Rattus norvegicus: one gene and its partner. The protein of the gene in region 1 purifies or fractionates together with the protein of each later gene. This does not show direct contact. Links are inferred from orthologs where the notes say so. Each region holds a gene or a part of one and is shown on either strand. Other genes may lie near its edges. The genes, in order: Phrf1 and Csnk2b.

Region 1 (12,077 bases):
TTAGGCTTGGTGGGAAGCATATGGTATGCCACAGGATAGGCTAGTAAGTTCTTGAATGAATTTTCTGAGAAAGGTGCTTCCTCTGGAAGTAACTGGGAAAAGGTAAGTGGCACTGAGGAGTAAAGACTATGTATACGAATAGGTTCTTATTTGGGGAACCAGAGTCTGAGAGCTTGGTACAGAAGGAAGGTCATGTCCAGTGACATTTATGACCTTCCTCTCTTCTCCTCTCTTCTCTCCTCTCCTATCTCTTTTCTCCTCCTCCTCCTCCTCCTCCTCCTCCTCCTCCTCCCCCTCCTCCTCTTCTTCCTCCTCCTCTTCTTCCTCTTCTTCCTCCTTTACTTCCTCCTCCCCCCCCCTTTCATTTTTGAGGTGGGGTTTCTTTGTGTAGCCCTGGCTGTCCTGGCACTTGCTCTGTAGACTAGGCTGGCCAACAAGTCTTTTATACAGGTATTCCCAATTGCTTTTACAGTGACTTACGAATGAGGACTAGCAGGTGTCCCACAGCAGGAGAGGGAGGGACAGCCCACCATCTTCTGCTTTTCAGCTTGGGCCACAGGAATGCCATAGTCCCCAGGAACTTTATCTGCAGTTTATAATCTGATGGTAGCCAGGCAAGCAGAGGCTAATGGGCCAGCATTGGCCAAGAGTGACATGCCCACTTAGCGACAGCCAAGTGGGCAACTGAGCATTGGAGTCCTTGTGATGACTGGCTCTCAGGTGAAGAGTGCTGCTTTGTTTCAGCTCAGGTGTCTGCTTGGTTCATGTTTGATATTAGGACTCTTCAGGAATACTTGGGGAAAATAGTGCCTGAAAAATCAGGCATTCAGATTCTACTTTGCATATGGTTCTGAAAACCAGTCACTGTCTCTTATGAAGATATATTTTATATTTTGTATTTGTACATGTCTTTATGGCTAGGGTCCTGTATATTGTGTCTCACAGTTCAAATTCTACATGTGTGGCAGTGCTTAGGTCTCAAGGGAGGTTCCCTTTTGGGAATGGCACCTTTCAGGAGGCTCTCTGTAGCCAGGGGAGTTTGGAGTTATTTGGTTCTGATCTCTTTCAGAGGTGAACTCCAATGTGCAGCCATGGATGATGACAATTTGGATGAGCTTGTGGCTCACAGCCCTGGGCCAGATGGACCTCCACAAGTTGGCTCCTCAGAACTAGCCAGTGATGCTGGTAAGCACCCCCACTCCTACCCCCATCCCACTGCTGGCAGGATGTTTGCAAAGGAATAGCACTTATAGCACTTGGTACTTTCTCCAGGTTACTAGCTCCTCTTGGAAGCTTAAATGTCAGCTTTCACTTTCAACCTTAAAAAACTTAAGTTATAGAAGTATAGTACATTCATTCTTTTTTTTTTTCCTTTTTTTTTCTTTCTTTTTTTTCAGAGCTGGGAACCGAACCCAGGGCCTTGTGCTTGCTAGGCAAGCGCTCTACCACTGAGCTAAATCCCCAACTCCACATTCATTCTTTTTGTTTTGCTTTTTTTGTCTTGTGTTTGAGATGGTGTCTCACTGTGTGGTTCAGACTATTCTTGAACTTCTTGACTCGTGGTCAGCCCAATTCAACTTCTCAAATTGCGGTATTGCTGGTAGCTAAGTCTACAATCAAATGTCACTGTGTTTGGTCTTTTTGTGAGGAGGGAGTATTATGAATGGAACCGAAAGCCTTGTGCATACTTAGTAAGACTCTACTGTTGGGTTCTAGGTTTTGGAACAGGGTCTTTGTGGCATAGGCTGCCTTCTAACTGCAGACCTCTTGACTAAACTTGCAGACTGCAGAGATTGCATGGTTTTCATTTACTTGTTTTTGTTTTTGACTGGATTTCCTGTATCCCAGGATGGCTTTGTAACTTGCAGTGCAGCAGAGGATGCATCTGATCCTTTTGCCTCCACCTCTCAAAATGGTGGGATTATAGATGTTCACCACTATACCTAGCTTTGTATGGTGCTGGGGATATGAACCCAGGGCTTGATCATGCGAGGAATGCAGGTTCTACTAGCTGAGCTGTACTTCAAGCCACTTTGTCTTATTTTTAATGCTAGCAACATAAATACAGAGTAAGATGACTCGTTTCCCCCATTTTATGTCTAACCACACACACACGCACGCACACACCATGGTAGCTTGGTAGTATACCTGTATATTCTAGAGTGGTTTTGGCTCTCTGCTTTGACGCTGCCCTTTGGGGTCTGTGCTTTTCATCTTGTGATCTAGAAGAAAGCAGCAATGGCCACAGTGAAGACTCTGAAGATGATACAGGCAGTGAGCAGGATGATGACACAGATGGGGAGGAAACAGAGGGGCTGTCTGAAGAGGAAGACCCAGAAGATAGATCTGGTAAGATTGTAGGCATTTGAGCCAGTTACCTTGACTCTCTTAGTGAGGAGACAGCCTGTGTTAAAACATCCACAGCTGAGCGCGCTAGCTGTCACCTGCCACGGAACAACAACTGACTTCAGCTGGAGTTTTTAGTTTTTAAAGTTAATTTAGTGATACAATTCTGTGGGTATCTCTTTCTAAGAGAAAATAAAACGTCTTAAGAACATTGAGCAACATAAGCCATTTGAGAATGGGGAGACAGGAGCTCTAAGAGGATGAGCAGGGATTCTTGGTGGCCTCTCTTCATTTCACAAGGGCCAACTGCTAGCATCACCCAGGTGCAAGACAGCTTAGCAGACCTTACTTACGAGGCATGTGGCATGGGACCTCTTTTAGGACAAAGGTTGTTAGTCCTATCTTATAGCTTGTTCTTTGCTTATTCAACCAGCTCATTGTGGGTATTATTAAAGTCCTGGCTTCTGTGCACTAGAGAAAGTTTGTTTATTTATTTATTTATTTATTTATTTATTTATTTATTTATTTATTTTTGGAGCTGGGGACCGAACTCAGGGCCTTGCGCTTCCTAGGCAAGCGCTCTACCACTGAGCTAAATCCCCAACCCCCTGGAGAAAGTTTATAACTTGGAACTCATGCAAAGAATAGTGCTTGAATGACATACCTCTACTCTGGAAAACCTTCATGGCCACCCTAGCCTATGGGCAGTCTATGAGGGTTCTTTGTATTGTCTTGGCCCCACCCACCTATTGCTACCTTTCTTACCTGTCTTAGGGTTTCTGTTGATGTGATAAAACATGACCACAAGCAACTTGGGGAGGAAAGAGTTTATTTCATCTCCCCGCTTGTGGTCCATTGTCTAAGGTAGAAGCTTAGAATTCTCAAGGCAGGAAGTGATGCAAAGGACATGAAGGAGTGTTGCATACCGGCTTGCTCCTTCGATTTGTTCAGTCTATTTTCTTAGAGCACCCTCCACATCCAGCCCAGGGCGTCACTGCTGACAGTGAGCCTAGCCCTTCCACAATGCAATAATAACTGAAAATGCTCTACAGGCTTATCCACGAAACTGTCTGGTGCAGGCATTTTCTCAATTGAAGTTCTTTCTTCCCAAATGAGTCTAGCTTGTATTAAATTGACATTAAAATTGGACTGAGGCTTCTATTAACTTCAGGTCTCCTTCTGGTGGCAGGCTCAAAGCACCTACTTATACATAAATTTCATTATACCCTTTGGTTGTTGATGAGAATGTTCTAGAGAAGTGACTCTTCCCTTATCATTGGGACAGTACTCATCATGAAGGAGTAGAACTGACTGTGAGTTAAGTAACCTTGTATTGATAATGAGTGCCCAGTTTTCCAAAGCTAGCTAGCCTTGAATTCACTCCATAACCAAACCTCAAATTCCTGGCAATCTAGACTAGAGAGATGGCTTGGATGTTTTTTTTTTTTGTTTTTTGGTTTTTTTTCCTTCGGAGCTGGGGACCGAACCCAGGGCGGTGGCTTGGATGTTAAGAGCACTGTCTACTCTTTCCAAGGTCCTGAGTTGGTGGTTCATAAACAGTCAGTTCTACTCCTTCATGAAACCTAGTGCTCTATTCTGACTTGTAGGCATATATGTAGGCAGAATGCTATATACATAATAAATAAATACTTTTTTTTTTAAAGATTTATTTATTTTATGCATGTGAGTACACTGTCACTGTCTGTCCTCAGACGCACCAGAAGAGGGCATCAGATCCCCTTACAGATGGTTATGAGCCACCATGTGGTTGCTGGGAATTGAATGCAGGACCTCTGACTGCTGAGCCAACTTTCCAGCCCTCGAGCCAGTGTCTTAAGGCATGAGCGAGTAGCCAGCATCTGGTTCAGTAGATACCAAGGAGAATCACTCAAGGGTCCTGGGTTCCTTCTTATAGGAAACGTCTTTTCACTCTTTGGTTTTCCCACCCTATATCCTGCTACTAAGGTGTGCCTGCTTTTGCTGCTGCTGGTGTGTTCCTGTGTTCCCCAATGTGTAGAGTATTAATCTCTTAATATCCTACTCTGAGAACTAATGCTCAGCACCCAGGTCTCTACTCAGTGTCCGTTATTATTGCATTCATAGATTGTTTAGAGCCTTCCACAGTTCCTCTGCAGTTCTCTATTCTGCTCATCAATCCTGTCTCCTTTCAGAATGGACACAATTTGAGGCCTGGTGTTCTTGGAGACTCTGCCTTTAGATACACCTGGTCTCTAGGCTAGCCACCTACTGCCCTGTTGGTACTAGCGCTTGTTAGCACCTCCCGTGGGTATTGTCTCAGTTACTTCTGTTTCTGTGATGAGACACCATGACCCAGGCAATTTATAGAAGAGTTTATTTGAGGCTTCAGTTCAGAGGGTCAGAGTTTGTGACCATCAAGGTGGGGAGCAGTAGGCAGGCAGTCTGTCACTGGAGCAGTAGCTGAGAGCTCACATCTGGAAATACAACTATGAGGCAGAGACACCAACTGGGTAATGGTGTTTTGAAACTTCAAAAGTTCTCTCTCAGTGACATACCTCTTCCAATGAGGCCACACCTCCTAATCCTTCCCACACAATTTCACCCACTGAGGAACAATATTCAAATACAAAGAGCTGTCATTCTTGGGGTTGGGGATTTGGCTCAGTGGTAGAGCGCTTGCCTAGCAAGCGCAAGGCCCTGGGTTCAGTCCCCAGCTCCAAAAAAAAAAGCTGTCATTCTCTTTCAGCCACAGCATATTTTAAGGACATTATTTGGCAAGCCAAATGAGAGTTCAGTGAGGGAAACTGCTGGGGTCCTTTTTTCTACCTTCAAGTCAGGTGTGGCTGTTCTCAGCATCCAGCGCATTGCTCTGTAGGCACTATGGAAATTAGGCAAAACAAGATGGCCAGGTCCCTACCTTCAGATTGCAGGGGAGAAGCAGATCCATCTCTTCTCTTTGACTCTGCTACCATGAGCCTCAGCTCGCAGGGGAAAGCTAGAGTTAGTTGTCATTCTGCTATGGAAGCTCCGTTTTCTAGCCGATTGTTAACAGCCATTCTTAGCTACTATGTTATCACACTCCCTTTGAAGTGGGTATAGCTGTTTGTGTCCTTCAGTGCCAGCACGAGCAGCCCCTGTGCTTTGCAAGTGCTCACCTGTGTAGAGGCAGAAGGATCAGGGAGTTCAGGGTCATCTTCATCTACGTAGCCAGCTTGGACTACGTGAAACCTTGTCTCAAAACAAAACAAAACAAACAAAAACAAACAAAAAAAAAAAACACAAGGAGCTGGCACGATTGCCAAGTGAATGACGGTGTTTGCCACCAAGCCTGACAGCCTGAGCTCAGTTCCTGAAATTCGTATGGTAAAAGAGAGAAACAGTTTCCATGGTTTACCCTCTTCTGCCCAATAATTAAACAGATGGTTGGTTGGTTGGTTGGTTGGTTGGTTGGTTGGTTGGTGGTTGATTGGTTTGGTTTGGTTTTTAAAAATCCTTTAAAAAGAGCTTATGTGGTAGGATTGATCAACCAGGGATAGTTCCGCTTTATGGGTTGGCAGCAAGGCTCTGGAGAAGGGCAGCCTAGCACCTTTGTTAGTCCTACTCACAAAGAATCAAATTCTGAGCCCCAGTACGATCTGCTTTTCTGGTCCCTGTGTTAGGTGTTTAGTAGTTCATAGGAGCTTGTTTGCTAAATGCATCTTCATGTTTTCCTTCTGACCCAGCCCCTGCTTCATACTGCCGAGATTGACCAGATCTTTTATAGTCACTAATCCAGTTAGGATCTTCTGTCTGTATTCCACTAGGAAGGAAGAGATGCCCAAGAAGAAGGTCTTATCTAATAGCATATATTTGTCGTCATTGTGTTGAAAGACTTGTGCAGCTATGCAAGGGTTGTCCTAAGTGGGCATTCTTAGGGGTGTAATCATTATTTTGTCCTGTGTATCCTCCACGCCCTCAGAGCTGAAGACTGAACCTGGGGCTTTAGACTTCTAAGTAAGTGCTCCCCATCATGGAGCTGAATCCCTAACCCATGGTAGTTTAGTTGTTAGTTCCATCTTCTCTGCAGCCTGTGGTAGCTCTTGAACCCTAACTTCTCGGATGTTATCTCACAGACTCAGGTGAGAGGAGCTAGTGTAGTCACTTAGCCAAGCATCCCTGTCCTCTTAGCTCTGGGCAGCTATGGACAGAGAGGCTTCAGGTAAGGGGCTTGGTTCCTCAGAATGGGTATTGTGTGAGTATGCCTTTGCGGGTAGGTAGGAAGGCATATTTCAAGAGGAGCTGGGATTCTGGCTAGAGGCAAGTGTCCTGAGTGTACTTGGCTCTGCTTGAGGCCAGTCCTTGAGCACGCACTTGTTTCTATAGTTACTAAAAGCATAACATTTCCATTTACCCAAGGTTCTGAAGATTCAGAAGATGGAATAGAAGTGCCAACAGCAGCAGTGGAGACTCAAAGGAAGCTTGAAGCTAGCAGTACACCCAATTCTGATGACGATGCAGAGAGCTGCCCCATTTGCCTCAATGCATTTAGAGACCAGGCTGTGGGCACCCCAGAGACCTGTGCCCATTATTTCTGCCTGGACTGCATCATTGAATGGTCCAGGGTGAGTTGGCTTTTTACTGGGCTACTCTTACCCTTTGTAACTAGGCCTTCTCTGCAGCAAAGCTGAACACAGGGCTGAGCCCAATTTGCTCAGCACTGTGGGGATGTGTCTGTGGGTGACAGGGCTTCAGAGAGGATGGCTCTGGCTTTTCTGAGGATCAGGACATAAATTCTGAGAGAACTTCACATAGTAAGTGTGAAACGGCCTCTGTAGATACTGAAATGGTATAAGTGTGATTACTCAGTCTGATGGCAAGATGATGTGTGTACAGGTATGTGGTGTGTGCCTGTGTTTACATGTAGAGGCTAAAGGATGTCGGGTATCCTGCTCTGTCAGTTTCCACATTATTCCTTTGAGACGGGATCTTTTACTGAAGCTACAGCTAGATTGGCAGCCGGTAAACCCAAGCAGTTCTCTCATTCTCTGTGGTATTAGCATTAAGAGATGCAGGTATAATCTTACCCAGGTTTTTATGTGGCCGTTGAGATCTGAGCTTGGATTCTTGTGCTTGCATAACATATCCTCTTATCCATTGAGCCAACCCCTTCCTTAAGAGAAAAAAAGTCAAATAAGAGGTTTTATTGCCTGCTTTTCTGACTGTCCCCAATGATGCTGGTAGTGTGGTGACAGATCCCAGCAATGTTATCAGGGTTATGCCTCTGATACTCCATTCCTTCTCCCCAAGTAGCTTCAAAGCGTCTCTGTGGTTCACTGTAAGTGGTATGCAGATGGCAAATGCCTTTCTTGTGCCCACAGTTCTGTCAGCGTAGTTTATTGTGTCAAACTTCTTTTTTCTCTTGTGAGTCTCACTGATTAGATTCAGATTAAGTTATTTCATTCTTTAAATTGAACAGCAAGAGGTTGGATGTGATGACACATGCCTATAATCCCAGCATTTAGGAGGGAAAGACAAGTAGTGGGTCTGAGTTCAAGATCAGCCTGGTCTATATAACAAGTTCTAGGCCAACCAGGGCTACATAGCTAGAACCTGTCTCAATTAATTAGTTGAAAAGCAAGTCAGTCTGTTTGCTGTGCTTATGATGTTTTTTTTTTTTTTTTCGGAGTTGGGGACCGAACCCAGGGCCTTGCGCTTGCTAGGCAAGTGCTCTACCACTGAGCTAAATCCCCAACCCCTATGATGTTTATTGGTAAGAAGGCATTTGAAAATAAGCTTATTAGTAAAGATCTTACATATCAGTTCAGATGTTGGATTTTGTGAGATAGCTAGGTACTGGGTTAATGAAGGTGAAAAATTTAGACTTAAAAAAAAAATGAGTCAGGGAGATGGGTGGTGGTAATAGACACCTTTAATCCCAGTACTTGGGAGGCAAAGGCAAGCAGATCTCTGAGTTTGAACCAGCCTGGTCTACAGAGCCAGCTCCAGGATGGCCAGGACCACACAGAGAAACCTCTTCAAAAAACCAAGGATGGGGGTAGATAAATAAATGAAATATAATCAGTCAGGCACTGGAGAGATAGCTCAGCAATTAAGAGCACTGGCTGATCTTTCAGAGGACCTGAGTTCAGTTCCCAGTGCCCACGTAGTTGCTTACAACTGTATAACTCCAGCTCCAGGGATCTGACACCTTCACATAGACATATAAGTAGGCAAAACACTAATGTACATAAATTAAAAAAATAAGATCAGGGTCAAGGAGCTGGTCCAGCAGCAAAGGATCTTGCATCAAGCATGACAGCCTGTGTTTGCTCTCTAGGGGCCACATGGTAGGCGAGCACTACCTTCAACAAGCGGTCCTCTGACCTCACCTCTCACAGTCAGTCAGTCGGGCTGGCCAGCAGGGAAAGCACATTGTCTTCTAGTCTCTTCACATCTGCTGTGGCACGCATAGCCTTCCCTGCCACCTCACCTTGTGGGACATGTGGTGCACAGCTATAATTCCTAGCATTTAGGAAGATTGCCATGGGTGTGATGCTAGCTTTGGTTACCTAGTAAGTTCTAGGCTAGTCTGGGCTACAGAATGACACCCTGTCTCAAACTCTTCCACCAAAAAGAAAGGGAGGGAGAGAGAGAAATTAATATTAAGCCAGTCAGACCAGGGAAGATACAGTGCCTTGGTTCTCACATAACTGTAGTGGCAGGACATGAAAGAGAGGTGGCAGACCTGGGTGGCCCTCAGTTTATACATTTATCAGAATGTAGTGGAGTACACAGCTAACAAAGGTATGTTTTATTGTATGGTATATTTCAGGAAAGGCAACTTGAGCTGAATAGACAAGGAAAAAAATCTTTGTAGCCTACATCTGATTATCATACACACTGAGACCATGTTCAAGGTCCCGTGAGCAGTTCACAAAGGCCTACGAGAAGATCTGGGATAGCAGCAAATAGACTGAAATGCTGGTTACTCAGTGTTTCCCTTCCCTGCTCTCCTTTTCCTTCTCACCTACACGACACCTGTATGGGAGCATGCATCCCGCTTGTTGACCATTCTCCCTCAGTAGCATGGTGACCTCAAGTTCTCACCATCCAGTTCTAGCATCTTAGCATAGGACTTCAGCCAAGACCAAGGCGATCGGTACAGATTTCAGTGTAAAAGGAATTATTATTATTTTTGTTTTTTCAGGACAGGGTTTCTCTGTGTGTATCCCTGACTAGCCTTAAACTCGAAGAGATTGCTTGCCTGTGCCTCCTGCTGCCTGCCTCCCAAGCACTGGGATTAAAGGCATGCACTACAACCACCTGGCTAATAAAAACAACTTTCTAATTTGTTGTTTCAGATAATCTGTAGATCAGGCTGGCCTCATATTCATAGTTCTCCTGCCTTGGCCTCCCAAATGCTGGGATAATGGCCAGGTGCTACCACCTCCATCTTAAAACTGTTGCTTGTTAAGTGAATTCTTCATTTTGAAGAGAGTCATAATGATCGTAATAAGTAATTGATGAGTAATGAGGGATTATGCAGGATTCTAATCCAATCTTTATTTCTTACAGAATGCTAATTCCTGTCCAGTTGATCGAACAATATTTAAATGTATTTGTATTCGAGCCCAATTTAATGGTAAAATCTTAAAGAAGGTAAGTGTAGATACTGCCTACCCCTGCTTGTATTCTTGTAGGAAGAGCATGACTTGCTTTTTTTCTTGTGAGGTGGTTGTCAGTTCAATTAGGCTTAAAAAGGAGTGACTCAGGCATCCTTTTCGGCCCTGACCAAGCCTAGGGCTAGGACTATCCATATTTACTGGGGCATAGAGTAGGAGTCATGGAGATGTTAGGGGTTTCTGGGCTTCTGTTTCCTCACACCTTCTTACTACAGAGCTTCTCTTTGGCCTGTCTCCTTATGAACTGCACTCTTGGCATGTGGGAGGTTGCAGTAGGGTGGGACAAAGGGCCATCTAACTGAAGTTTGGAAAAGTACTGTTGGGACTGGAATGAAAGGTGTTTTTGCTTATTATTTATTGTCCTCTCTCTTTCTCTTCTTTCATTACTCCTTTTTTTTCTCTGCTTTTCCTATCTGTCCCCCCAAACCGCCCACCTCCTTTCTTTTTTTTTCTTCCTTTCCATGGATTAAATTCTAGGCCTTGTGCATGCTAAAGCAAGCTATACAACCAAGTGCTACAACTTGAGCCCTGATTGTTTTTTGTTTTTTTTTTTTTTTTTTTTTTTTTTAAAGATTTATTTATTTATTTTATGTACAGCATTCTGCCTGCATATGTGACTGCAGTCCAGAAGAGGGCACCAGATCTCATTACAGATGGTTGTGAGCCACCGTGTGGTTGCTGGGATTTGAACTCAGGACCTCTGGAAGAACAGTCAGTGCTCTTAACCACTGAGCCATCTCTCCAGCCCAAACAGTTTCTTTTTTTTTTTTTTTTTTTTTCCGGAGCTGGGGGCCGAACCCAGGGCCTTGGCGCTTGCTAGGCAAGCGCTCTACCACTGAGCTAAATCCTCAACCCTGATTGTTTTGTTTGAGAGAGGGTCTCACTGTGTAGACCACACTGGCCTTGAACTCCCAAGAGTTCAAGAATGCAGGAATTAAAGGCATGTGCTACCACTCCCCATGTATCCCTTGTGTTTTTTTGAGACAAATTCTTACTGTGCATCAAAAGATCAGCCTTGCCATGGTTGTGTACATCTTTATTCTCAGAACTGGGAGGTAGAGGTGGGTGGATCTCTCTCTCTGTTTGAGGACAGCCAAGAAAACATAGTTAGATCTTAAAAGGTGGTGGCACACACCTTTAATGCCAGCATTTAGGAAGCAGAGACATCGGCAGATCTGTGTGAATTCAAGGCCAGCCCAGTCTACAGAGTTCTGGGACAGCCAGGGCTACACACAGAGAAACCATGTCTTGAAAACTAAATAGACAGACAGACAGACAAACAACACCAATAAAACAACAAAACAAATTTCAGTTCTCTTGTTCTTTGCCTTCTGATCCTTTTGCTGGTGATTGAACCTAGGACCTCTAACAGGCTGAGCAAGCTCTGTGCCACTGAGCTACATGGCAGGAGTGTTGTTGAGCTTGTGCTTTAAAGTCCTCATGTGCTCTCCGCGCCTGTGCCTGGCACTCACAGCGCTGGTGACTCAGTTCCATGATGTATTCTCACACCACAGGCTTGTCATCATGTTTGTTGCTTACTTGTTTGTTTTTAGAGACAGGGTCTCTGTGTAGCCCTGGCTGTTCTGAACTTACTGTAGACCAGACTGACTTCACACTCTCAGAGATCCACCTGCCTCTGCCGCCCAAGTGCCCAAGTGCTGTGATTAAAAGCCTGCACCACCACTCCTGGCCCCTGGTGCAGTTCTTGCTTTTACTTTTCTAGTTACTTGCCTTGCCGTAGAGACAACATGAAGGTCACCTATGTCTTAGGGTTTTTTGCTGCAACAAAACACTGTGACCAAAGAGCAAGTTGAGGAGCAAAAGGCTTATTTGGCTTATACTTATATATATTACTATAATGAATACATTATTGAAGGAAATCAGGATAGGAACTGAAACAAGGTCGGAACCTGGAGGCAGGAACTGATGGAAATGCTATTGAGGCTGTAGAGGGTTGCTTGCCTACTGACTTGCTCCTTATGGCTGGCTCAGCCTGCTCGCTCACTCCTTTCTTTCTTCCTTTCGTTCGTTCATTTGTTCATTCTTTCTGTTTCTATTTTTGTTTTTGTTTTTTTAGAAATAGAGTTTCTC
Region 2 (12,780 bases), on another chromosome or scaffold:
GCCTTGAGATCAAGGCCAGCCTGGACTAGCCTAAGGCTGAATCGCAGAAAGCCAAAACAAACCCAAAAGCTCTATGTTTGTGCCCCTAGGCACACATACCTGCACATGCATGATCTGGATCATGAGGTTTTCCACCTCCAGCACAGGTGACCACTTCAAACTACAGGACTGACGTACCCAGGCAGCAGAGCAAAGGGGAGTGACCCTCTTCCTGCAGGGCAGGATCTAGCACTGGGCTGTGAGGGGTGAGCTTGACTGCAGTCACCTGGAAGTGCTCGTAACACCTGGATGACCTACTCGTCCTCCATTGAATAATAAGAGAGTTATGCAAATCACCCACGAGTGATTTCTCTGTGCTTGAAAATTTCCCATTTATTATTTGAGACAAATGTGTGGCTTTGGGTGGAATTCACTATGTAGACCAGGCTGGAATCAAACTCAGGAGATCCACCTGCCTTGCTTCCCAAGCGCAGGGATCAAAGGCGTGCACCGCCTCTGCTTGATTAAGAAGGTGCCAGGACCCTTGAAATGAACTCGCTCGCTCACTATACCCGGACACGGACTTGAGCTTCTTCTCAGGTGAAAACATGGCACCGCGAGTTGGCTTAACGATCCAGGCTTTTTTTTTTTTTTTTTTTTTTTTTGGTTCTTTTTTTCAGAGCTGGGGACCGAACCCAGGGCCTTGCGCTTCCTAGGTAAGCGCTCTACCACTGAGCTAAATCCCCAGCCCCCAGGCTTTGTTTTTTAAAGATATATATATGTGTGTGTGTGTGTGTGTGTGTGTGTATGTATATATGTATGTATATATATATGTGTATATATGTATATAATGTATATGTGTGTATGTATATATATAATACACACACACATATATATATGTATATGTGTGTATATATATATATATATATATATACATATATATATATATATATATACACACACACACACTGTACCTGAGTTCAGAAGGTCATCGGATCCCATTACAGATGGTTGTGAGCCATCTTGTGGTTGCTGGGATTTGAACTCAGGACCTCTGGAAGAGCAGTCAATGCTCTTAATCACTGAGCCATCTCTCCAGTCCAACGTTCCAGGTTTTGAAGGTTATGGTTGAAGTGGGGCAACTGCCTTCATGCTTTGGTCTTTAGCTAAGCAGAGGGAGGGGAAGGATGTGGCTTTTAGGGTAATTTGAAAGGAAGCCTTAAAGACCAAATAGAGTGGGTAGGGTTTGGATATCCTGTCTGAATCCCACACTTAACTCTTTGACCTGGTTACACCTGCCCACAACTGAAACACACGCACACGCACACACCACCGAACATTATGACAGATTTTTGCCAAGTTCTGGTTTATTATAGAGGAAACATGGGAGCCGCTGCAACCCCTCACCAGGCAGGCAGGCAGTAAGGTGAAATGGGGTCGCCGCGCCAGATGTCCAGGCACCCTTTGACCTTCCTGCTGAAGCCTGGCACTGAGTCTTAGGTGTGGCATATGACCAGACTGAGGGTACCTGAAGACCGGGACACTCATACGGGAACACTGTCAGGTCAGCCTGGGCAGAAGCCATCTTTAAATTCTTGAATAGGAGGGAGACAAACCAGCAGCCAGACCTGGGGCCACTACAGAAGCTGGCCATGGAGAGCAGAAGGAAGCCTAGGAGATTACAGGTATCAGGATTTGAGTGCTCGCAGATCTGGGCAGCTCAAAGGACGAGGCTCCCAGCCAGAGCAGAATCTGGGAAGGGGGATGGGACATGTCAGGGTCTAGCCTGGGGAAGAACCAGAAGTCCTGAACTGTTGAGGAACAAGTATATTTTGCGCAGGTCGGCAATGGACAAGCCCAGCCCCGGGGGCAGAATGAGAGAGTCCGGGCCCTCAGACACCTTATGAGTGTGGAGGTCAGGCTGAAACAGAGGGAGGTGCAGGGCCTGGTAGAACTGTTTTATCTGAGACTCAGAGAGGGGCACACCCAGATGGTTTCCTGGGGGCCCAGGCAGAGTGCTCTGGTGCTGGGCACTGGACCAGGAGTTGCAGTAATCATACTGGCAGCAATTAACCCTATACCAGTAGTCTGAGTAGTAGATGACGTGATTTTCTTGACACCGGAAGGAGTGGTGCTGTCCACAGCCCCGTACGTGGAAGCGAACCTTAACATCTAGAGGAGAGGGGACAGTTATAATCCTGGTTAACAGCTTCCCACGGTCCCCGAACCTAACTCTTCCCGCACTCACGCAGACCTCGTTTTATTTCGTGGAGGGGGAAAAGAAAAAAATAACCAGCTCACTTGTCTGCACACCCTCCCTCCACCCTTCAAAGATAACTCTCGTCCTTGAGTGGCCCAAACCACCCTTATGTTGAGGAGACCAAGCCACACTGCTCTACCGTCAGCCCTTTCCTGGGGCTTGGCTCACTCTGATAGATGGTGATCACCATGCATGGCGAGGAAGAGCTGATGGTGCACTTTTCTGACCCAGAAATGCAGCCTATCGAAGGGTCTTCTAAGAAGCACAGGTGGCAGGTACGGACGCTGGCGACCGGAGCTTGGCGCAGAGAACAAAGGAGACGGAACCAGGAGGTCTTTCAAGCACACCCAGGACCAGCTCTCCCCACTCTTTCCAGACCCTGGCCTTACTTACCCTTCCCCAAGGCAAAGCCCACCATGGTCAGCACATGGACAAGCACACAGGCCCTCATTATGGAATTTCAGGGGAGAGGAGCAACTCCCGTGGAGTAGCCCACAGCCCCACCTTCCTGGGATCACACTCCTTGATCTTCAGAGGCAGAATGGGTTAGACAGGCAGTCTGAGCAGAAACTGCTGTGGGTGCAGAGGTGCACTCCTGTCTGAGGCAGGGTCCTGACCAGAGGAGGAAGTTATCTATTGGCAGGAAGAATGGCCCGTCCTCACCCACACTGTCTGGTTTCCCATGTGGGCCACAGCCGAGTACCAGCTGGCTTTATCAGGTGTCTTCATCCCAGACACTGCCTTGAAAGGCCCATACCCCCACCTCAGGGACCACGGCTTAGTCTGTCTCTGGCACTGCCTGCTGTCCACCTACACAGCAGGGTTGGTCCCCATTATTCGGGGAGAGGTTGGCCAGAGACAAGCCTCCCCAACCTTTCCAGATGTGTCTCTGTGTCTCGGCTCTCCCAGCAGGGGGCACACAGACACCACTGAGCAACTGGGACTCTTTGCCTCCTCTACAGCTCTATTTGCTGAGGGGTAGAGCCCCTTTAGCAGCACAGCTGAGGGAACTTCCCATGAAGCCCCCACAGCAGACACAGCCAGAGCCCAAAGGGAGCAGGTCTTCTCCAGCCTTTGAAACCTTTCTTCTCAGTCTGGTACTTGACCCGACCCAACCTAGAACGCTGCTCTGATACACTATAAATACCTCCAGATCCATGAGGCACCAACCTGGGCTGCTTCCAACCTAGGGAGGACAGACTAGACCTTGCGGTCCCTGGAGTCCAGCAACCACCCCTTCCGTTCCTCAGCCCTTCCCTAGCAGCACGCAGCAGGAGACAAGCTCATAGCCTTTTCTTCCTTTATTTCATATCCCCACCACAGTAACAATTCCTTTAATTTAAACTAAAAACCATAGACTTCCTGAAAGGGTGGCAGCGGAGGGACGGTGGTGTCACAGGCAGAGGAGGTGGGAGGGCACTCAGCGAATCGTCTTGACTGGGCTCTTGAAGTTGCTGGCGGCTTGGAGCTGCAGCTGGTAGGCCATTGGATGGATCTTGAAACCGTAGAGCCTGGTGGGGGAGGTCAGAGAGGGAGCACGGTAAGCTCTCTGCTGGCCCTGCCAGCGGTGGTCACCCACCTCTACTCCAGCCTCCTCCTCATATCTTCTCAACAGGACAATTTCCTCGCACATGAATACATGAACTATGCCTCTTTCTCTCATTGGGGAGGAGCTTGTTTTTCAAGACAGGGGTCCCATGTCTAACAGAGCCTTGGCCTCGAACCCAGAGATCTGCCTGCCGCTGCCTCCCAGTGTGCAACCATACCCAGCTTAAACAATGTGCCCTAAACATCCACTAAAATTAAAATTCCAGGCTAGGTACTGGCCTGTCTCATTTACAGCTCGAGGTCATCTTAGCCAACAAAGACCCTGCCAGACACCCCCTGCGCCCCTGACACCTGTGCCAAACCAACCAAAGAGCCATAGTAAAAGTACAGCTGAGGGAGAGAGCTCAGCAGTTACGCTGGGTTAAACCCACAACCCACACTTGAAGTCTCACATTTAAGAAGCTACAAGATCAGTACCTGTACAGGATGGAACCCTTCCTTCCCGCATACAGTAAAAATAAGGTCCAGGATGATAAGCCATGCTACCACAACGCCCGAGGACGTGGGGGAAAAGGCTGAACACCCAAGACGGCAACAGCCACAGCCACGATTTAGACAGTCAAGTGCCACACACCTAAGAATGTTGCTAGGGAGGTAAAACTAGCATCCCTGGTTCACAGATAAGGGACACCCGAGCAATCACATGACTTCCCCATCGCTAGCAGGAAGAACCCTGACTTTGGAATGGTCAGGCCTAAAGAAAAGCCATTCTTGTTCTCAACTCTCTCCAGTCCTCGGGTGACTCTGAGCCTCTGTGACTGTCTCTGCTCCCACCTGGGCACAAACTGGTTGGCCGGCCGCTTGGGCCGGTACTCGGGATGCACCATGAAGAGCATGTGAGGGAAACCAGTGCCGAAGTATGCGCCATCCGTGTGGTGGTGCCTAGAGGACTTGGGTGTGTACACGTCCATGCACTTGGGGCAGTAGAGCTTCACCATGGCCTCTCCTGGGATGTCCGAAAGGCCTGGGAGATAGAAAGCCAGAATGCAGACCAGGAGTCCCCAACTCTCCCCAGCCTCCCACAGGACTCAGGCACTGTGTACACCAAGCCAGCTTCTTGCAGGACGGCCAGAGAGTGCCCTCCTCCCATAAACACTCACCGATGGGAAGCATCGGCTGGTTCTCACAGTATACTCGAGGACAGTAGCCAAAGTCTCCTTGCTGGTACTTTTCCAACTGACATGTATAAAACAGAAGGGAGTGGTCGGTGAGTGCGTAGGCAATCTCAACGCACTCCCGGTTCCCCCACGCCTCCCGAGTCTGACTAGAAGCCCCTTCTGTGGAGACAGGCCCTCCAACCCCTCAGGTGCTTTTCCTTCGTGGGGCCGGCTGCAGAGCACAGGGCTGTTTGCCATGTGTCCCCTGCAAACTCCTTTTTCTGGTTTCATCTCCCTTCCTGAAAACACCACCTTCAATGGGACCCTCAGTGGCCCTGCCCTGGGCATCTCCCTCTCTCCTCTTCCCCAGCCTCTGACTCATGCACCCTTCCCCTCCTGTAGAAGTAGCAGGAGCAGAGCCTCACCATTTGTGCAATGCCCCGGTTGGTGAGGATGTAGCGGGCGTGGATCAACCCATAGAGCATCTCGGCCGCCTGCTCAATCAAGTCACTCTGGTTGGGGTTGTCTTCCAGCTCTTCATCTGAAATGTGGGGCGGCCACTTGTTTAGCTTCCCTAGGTATCCCTACCTTACCTGCAGTACCTGTTCCTAAGCTCGCCCTACCCACCATCCATGCATCTGACCCAGAAACCTGGGCTCCTGACTCCTCTACAAGGTCAAGACCCTCAGCGCAGCCTCTCTGTATGCCTTAGTCTCTGCCTAAGTCCCTCTCTCCTTCCACAGTAAGTAAATGTAAACACACAACCACAGAGGTGGCCCTCGAGGGCAGCAGAGGGAAAGAGGCAGCACACCAGGCCCAAGAGGAAATCACCATTACAAAACAGCCGAGCTGCTTTCAGAGAGCATCAAGACCAGGCAAGGAATCAAAACAGTGGAGAAGTTAAGCACTGCTGTGTGCCTCTCTCCAGCATGGAAAGCTAGGGCAGGACAGCACGTGGTAAAGTCCAGTTTGGGTTATGAATGGAGGGGCTAGAGGTGGGGGAGGAAACACAGGAGCAAGCGAGAATCAAAAGGAAATTTAGAAATTCAAGAAGCAAGCCAGTCTGTGATTCCAGCACTCAGGAGGCAGAGGCAGACAGATCTCTGTGAGTTCGAGGACAGCCTGGTCTACAGACTGAGTTCTAGGACCGACAAGGCTACCCAGGAAAATCCTGTCTCCACTACCCCTCTCCCCGCAAAAAACAAAACAAAACAAAAACAAACAAACAAACAAACAAACAAACAAAAAAACCCCAACATCAACAAATTCAAGAAGCAAGCAAGCAGAGAGCAGAAGAGAACGGAAACAAAGCACCCACAAGTGCACTCTATCACCAACCCCACAGTCAGCAACAACCCAGGACACACGTTAGTTACCAGGTTCCAGGTCCAAGATCATGTCTAGGGCTTGTCGATAGTGAGGCACCTGCTCATTGAGTCCAGTAAGATTAAATTTGTCCTGGATGTAGTCTTCATCCACCTACAGGGGAGTCAAGGGGTTCAAACCAGTATAGAAAGGCCCGTCATCTTCCCACCTGGGCCCAGGAGATAGTCTTTCCTCAGCCAAGCCACCTCTCATGTTTCCTAGTCCCAGTTCTGCAGAAGTACTCAAGTTTCATAAAAACTGCAGCTCTTTTCTTTAAGGCAAACCAGATCCAGCACACAAAGACATTATTCAGCTTCTGTCCCTCATTTTACAAATTGCATGTGCCCTCTTCTTGGGGACAGCAGACTCCTGAGCTGAAGACCTCGGAATCATGAAGGTCAAGTAGTTTAGTTTCTGAAAGGTATTTATAATTTTCTACCTTAGCACACCGTGCTTTGCACGTTACACAACTTTGACATGAGAGGTTTTAACTGCCCTAATGGTCACCAGAGACACCTCTGTTAGCCATGCATATTGACAAACCCTCACAATACTAGCACTCAGGAGGCGGCCGGTAGGATTGCCAGGAGTTCAAGGCCAGTCTAGTCTGCATAGTGAGCTCGATCGAAATCTGCTCTCAAACGACGTAAAATCAAACATCGAGGGCATGTGGAGTTGGCCGACCTAAACTCACCTCACAGAAGAATTCATTACCACGGAGCCCACAGAACCAGGAAATCCAGGACACCTCCTCAGAGCTACTCATCTTTATGTCCGCTGAGAAAGAAGAGCCTAAGTAAGTGGAGACCAAGCTGTTTCTGGTCTCTTCCCTCCTCCCACACGTTCTCCACAACGACGGATGAATCCGAGTCCAGCCGGGCTTAAAGGATCCCGGCCTCTGAAGCATCTCCAAGCTCCTCTCCTTTAGCTCGGCCCCCCCTTACAGTGTGCTGAGAACGAGTTCCGCTACTTTCCAGAAAATGACAGGTCCTGATCTGTTAGTGTTACCCCCGTCCCTGGCGCTCCTCACGGCCAGGCCCCTCTCCCCTCCATGTCAGCCGCGACAGGGCCCTCGGCTCGGGCTCCCCACCACCGCAGGTGCCTGCATATTCCTGGCGCCTGTCCCAAAGCTCCCGAAGTTCATTTTACCCAACAGAATCGGCCTCTCCTGCCCTCGCAGGGTTGGCGAGGGCACCACACTTCCGTGGGACTCACGAGCGTCCCCACAAGCCGCCTCCTCTCCCCAGGCCCCCCGACCTCCTTCGGCTACCGACCCGGTCACTTCCTTCGTCGCCCCCACATCGAGGAGCACCGACCCGAGTGCCGCGCCCAGGGACCGGCGACTGGGCGCGGAGACAACCCCACACTCACCGGCCGGACGGGGACTGGGACTGGGGCGGGGAAGGGGAGCTGTGCTTCCAAGGAACGGCAGAGACCGCTACAGCGCAAAAAGCCGACCCGGCCGCGGCAGACGAAGTGGGGAGGGGGGGACTGGAAACTGGTGAGGGTTTAGGGGTTGGGGGGGAGAAGAGAGCAACGCGCAGGCGCTAAGGACCGCCCCCCTACCTCCGTGGACGCCGGGAGATGTAGTCCCGTCAGGAGAGAGAAACTGACGAAATGAAGGGAAGGCAAACTACCAATCCCAGGAGGACCCGCGCATGACTCTAGGGCCGCGAGGCCCTAGAGGAAGCCGCCCGGGGGCGGGGCGAACGGAGCGCCACCGGAAGCGGAAGCCTAGCACGGAGTCTTCTCGACCAGGAAGCCTGGGAAATATAGTCTTAGGAGGCTGGCTAGACTACGGGGCTAGCGCCCGGGGTGATTGTCATCCCTACGGTGCTCTCTCGGCGTTGCGCTTTAGTTTTTCTCCCTCCTCCCCGTGCCAGGCCAACCCACTGGACCCTGGCTCTCCTGCCAGGCCCGCGACAGAGCGCGCTCGGGCTCCGGCATGCGCAGAGGTGTGGTGAGGGACTTAGGTCGGGTGTGCTTAGGACGCGCTGAGCTGTGCATACGGCGTGAGAATCTAGACCGCCCTGCGCGCTAACCTGAGGTGGGGCCAGCCATTCTGCCGCTCGTCCCTTTGTACTTCTCCATTTCCTCAGAGCTTGATGGAGCGTCCTGCTGCGGACCCTAACTGTTCTTCAAACCCTGCTCAGAGTAGTGGTGAGGGGTGCCGTGATGTTACTTCATCTCACAGCTCCTCGGCATTCCACAGGTCTCCCCCTCTGTGTCCTCAGAGTCTTTCTGAACGCAGAGGGTGGCCTCCCAGCTCCAGGAAAGGAGCTTGGTGCTGGAGGGACCAGGGCGAGGGTGGCGAAGAGCATTGTGGGGGCGTTATGTAAAAGCAGGACCCCAACCGACAGGTTCCCCCTTGGGTCCTCGCGCTCCTGGGCACGCGATGCTTTACACGGATGCTTGGAAAGGTTCCAGCGCGGGAAACTGAACCTTGTGGGTGTTTTGTTGTTGTTGCTGGTGCGCATGCGTCATGGCTCCCTGTAGCTCTGATTGTATCAACTCTTAGAGATTATGAGAGCGCCATTTTGCGGTACGGAAATGACAGTGCAGCGTCTTTCCCCGAAAGCTTCCGGAATAATGTCACGCCTGTTTTTTATCTGGGAAAAGGAGACCCCCCCTAGATAAGATCGAGCAAGATTTAAAAGGCTGAACTGATATTTTCAAACGGTATGTGTTAGAGGACAGGAAAAATGATTTCAGAGAGAGCCTGGCATTTTTGTAGGAAGATGGGAGTTGAACGCAGGACCCCTAGACCCCTATTCTTGTGGAATATTTTTCCTGTTATCCTTTTTCTTTTCTGTGTTAGAGATAGAACCTAGAATTCTCAAATTCGGGGCGAGCATTCTACCCAGAGACATAGGTACCTACCATGCCCTCCTGAAATTATATTAACATTGTGGCAGGATCAGTTATTCCTGGGTTACATTTTATCCATGAGCCCTGGGCTCTACAGAATCCTAGGTATGAAGTCAGTGTGGGGATGGAAGGTCCATTTTAGTTGTAGGCTGCTGGGCCCCTGGAGGTGGTGCTGGTCTTCACAAGAGCTACCTGAAAGGTAGGCTTGCTTGGCACATCCTCCTGCCTTGCCTGGTCTTCATTTTCTCACTTTTCCCACAGCCATGTCCAAGCCATCCCTCATCACATTCACTCCAGCCACCGACTCCAGTGACCTCTGGAAAGATGGTCAACAGCAAGCACAGCTCGAGAAACCAGAGCCTGTCCTGGATGGGGCCGCAGCCCGGGCTTTCTATGAGGCTCTAATTGCAGAGGAGAGTGGTTCCCCTAAGCCCCGGAGAGCCGAACCGACCAGGGAGAGAAAGAGGAAGAGAAGAAGAACTACCGCAAGGGAGCCTGTAGCAGCAGGGGTCCCGAGACAAGGAAGAGCACTTGAGGATGAAGACAGGGTGACCCAGTGGATCCTGATGGCAGCCCAGAATGGGGATCTGACAGAACTCCGGAGGCTGCTGGAACCCCAAGAGGCAGGGGGAGCTGGAGGGAATATCAATGCTCGTGACGCCTTCTGGTGGACTCCCTTGATGTGTGCTGCTCGAGCGGGCCAGGGCGCTGCCGTGCGCTATCTCCTGGGCCGAGGGGCTGCCTGGGTAGGAGTCTGTGAACTGGGAGGCAGAGACGCGGCTCAGCTGGCAGAAGAAGCAGGCTTCCCTGAGGTAGCCCGCATGGTCAGAGAGAGTCGTGGGGAGACAAGGAGCCCCGAGAACCAGAACCGGTGAGGAGGGAGCCTTTGCTCATGCCCCATCTTTATTGTGTTCTTTCCTGGACACCTCCTACCAAGGGCCGCACAGCAGCTAGTAGGGGCCATTCATCTTCCAGTAGTTCAGTCTTAGAGCGGTAATAGACGTGGCCTTTGTGCGTTTGAATCTGGGTTCCATTTATTTGCAGAGCCAGCCTAAAGTCTGGGAATCTCAGTCCTTGTCTGAACTGAGGATAAGACTCTCTCTCAAAGGGCTGTTTAGATGCAGCAGGTCAGTGTGGAAAGTGTGGACGGTGCTTGCTGCTAGTATGCACTTTCTGAGTATCAGCACCACTCGCTACTCCTGAGAGCTTGAGACCTACCCAACATATTCCAAGTTGTCCCTTCTGGACAAAGGGAGAGGAGATGGCGTAGCTTGGTTAGAGCGCCTGCCTAACACTGGGAAGACCCTGGGGTCCCAAAACAAGATACAATCAAAAAAGGTGCTGCTGAAATCAGGAGAAAGGCATAAGGTGCTCTGCCTGGTGCCTGAACAACTTCCTCCCCTATAACTTATTTCTTTCTCTGCAGATCACCCCCCTCCTCCTCCCAGTTCTGTGAGGACTGTGGTGCCTACTTTGAAGACTCCAACCACCGCACATCTACTGCTCACCTGCTGTCACTGTCTAGGAGACCCCAGCCCTCCAGCCTTCCCCTTGGGGTACCCACTTCCAGTCCTGGCTTCAGACTGCTGCTGAGGGGTGGCTGGGAACCAGGAATGGGGCTAGGACCCCGGGGTGAAGGCCGTGCCAACCCTATTCCCACTGTCCTCAAGAGGGACCAGGAAGGACTGGGCTATAGATCCCCAACCCAACCCCGGGTCACACACTTTGCAGCTCGGGATACCCGGGCTGTGTCTGGGAAAGAGAGAGTTCCTCGAGTCGGCACGCTGAGTCAGAGGGAGAACAGAAGGCGAGAAGAGAAGGACCGGGCCTGGGAGCGAGATCTAAGACTATACATGAACCTCGAGTTCTGACTGACACAGACTGGCCCTCGTCTGTCACTGGCTGGGTGTGGGCCTCTGACTTGGACACTTGGGCTTCCAGACCCTTAGGCCTTGGCTACCGGGCTCTGCTTTTAGAGAAAAGGGTTGAGAGTTGGGAGATAAATAAACTTCCCTCCCTGTGTCGTGTTTACTCTCTTTTTTTTTTTTCTTTTTTTCTTTTTTTCTTTTTTTCGGAGCTGGGGATCGAACCCAGGGCCTTGCGCTTGCTAGGCAAGCACTCTACCACTGAGCTAAATCCCCAACCCTCGTGTTTACTCTCTTGAATGATATAGCAGGGAATTGGAACTAATCTGAGAGTCACTTGGAAGTCTCACCTGAGCCAAAAGGACAAGCTCTCCAGATGACAAAAGAGCCCTTAGTCCCGCTGGCCACATTCTACCCGCTTCTTTTTTTTTTTAAAGATTTATTTATTTATTATATATAAGTACACTGTAGCTGTCTTCAGACACACCAGAAGAGGGCATCAGATCTCTTTACAGATGGTTGTGAGCCACCATGTGGTTGCTGGGAATTGAACTCATGACCTCTGGAAGAGCAGTCGGGTGCTCTTAACCGCTGAGCCATCTCTCCAGCCCTCTACCCGCTTCTTGAAACCCTCTCTGAACTAGAAATTGCCCCACTTGTGCAAAACTCCCCTCTGAGTGTGAGTCTAGGCCAATCCAGTCAAGTCGGTGACTATCCTGGAATTATCTCTGTAGTGTGTCATAACCCAGGTGTGCTATGTGTTAAAAACACTGCAAGCCCTGGAACTCCGTGAGGAAGCCAGCTGTGATGAAATGTAACAGCTGGTGGGAGGGAAGTTGAAAGCCCCAGGGCTAGCTGCCACCAGAGCTCTGACCTCCCAGATGAAGATGACCCCACTCCCCTCCGCCCCCCAGACACAATCTCTCTATGTAGACCAGCCTGGCCTCAAACTCAGGTAAAACCCATGTGACTTTACCTGTATGGGGCATGTAACCTAGGGCTTCATATCTGTTTACTGAGTTGCAATTCCAAGGCTTAAGGCAGCCCTAAGATTCCCATTTCACTCCCTGATATACTTTTCTACATTTCTCTCCCATACTTGGCACCCCCCCACTCCCTTGGGATGCTTAAACGGGAGAGCTAGGAACATAAAAGTATTCAAATCCCTGTCTGGAAGGCCAAAGGGTAGCTGCTTAAGTCATGTGTGGCTTCTGTTATTTACCTTTCTGGACCAGCACTACAAGAAGTCACAGGTGAGAAATGAAGGAATGGCAGGGCTTGTAGGAAAGAACCACAGAGCAGCTAGAGTCCTAACATAAGGGAAGCAGAGGCTAAAGGATCGACTCAAAGCTAGCCTGGGCTATATATGTCCAAGCCTTTACTGAGCTACATATATAGGGAACCTGCCCTTAAAAGAACGAACAAACAAAGCCGGGCGGTGGTGGAGCGCGCCTTTAGTCTCAAGGAGGTAAGAGGCAGGCAGATCTCTGAGTTGGATGCCAACCTGGTCTACAGAGCTAATTCCAGGATAGCCAAGGTTACACTGAAAAACAAAACAAAAAATCCCAAACCAAGGGCTGGAGTACCTAACCAGTGTCAGCGGTGGGGGGCTCTGGGAGGTGAACAGCAGATCCCGGGTTCATACTCAGGGTCTGGCCTTAGGTGGTCCTCTCTCTACGCCTGCGCTAGTGAATCGCGGGGGCTTTTGGGGAGGTCGCTCTGTCGGGTCCGCCTCTCT

Evidence for each region.
Region 2: the proteins of Phrf1 (region 1) and Csnk2b purify together in Homo sapiens (affinity purification with mass spectrometry; 3 studies listed by BioGRID and IntAct, with this or other methods). This does not show direct contact. The link is inferred for Rattus norvegicus from reciprocal best matches to the Homo sapiens genes PHRF1 and CSNK2B.

The regions. Positions count from the first base shown.
Region 1 is NC_086019.1:205,765,028-205,777,104, forward strand, and holds part of Phrf1 (PHD and RING finger domain-containing protein 1), read left to right. Parts: intron 1-1,069; 5' UTR 1,070-1,091; coding exon 1,092-1,185; intron 1,186-2,226; coding exon 2,227-2,349; intron 2,350-6,720; coding exon 6,721-6,926; intron 6,927-9,879; coding exon 9,880-9,963; intron 9,964-12,077.
Region 2 is NC_086038.1:3,700,742-3,713,521, reverse strand, and holds Csnk2b (casein kinase II subunit beta), read right to left. Parts: upstream 7,800-12,780; 5' UTR 7,681-7,799; intron 7,087-7,680; coding exon of another isoform or gene 7,076-7,086; coding exon 7,004-7,075; intron 6,424-7,003; coding exon 6,321-6,423; intron 5,486-6,320; coding exon 5,370-5,485; intron 5,024-5,369; coding exon 4,948-5,023; intron 4,812-4,947; coding exon 4,622-4,811; intron 3,751-4,621; coding exon 3,660-3,750; 3' UTR 3,523-3,659; downstream 1-3,522. Other genes in the region: Ly6g5b (lymphocyte antigen 6 complex locus protein G5b precursor), read right to left, coding at 1,754-2,151, 2,408-2,536, 2,633-2,690; Gpank1 (G patch domain and ankyrin repeat-containing protein 1), read left to right, coding at 8,718-8,754, 9,439-10,048, 10,604-11,048. UniProt on the Homo sapiens protein: Regulatory subunit of casein kinase II/CK2.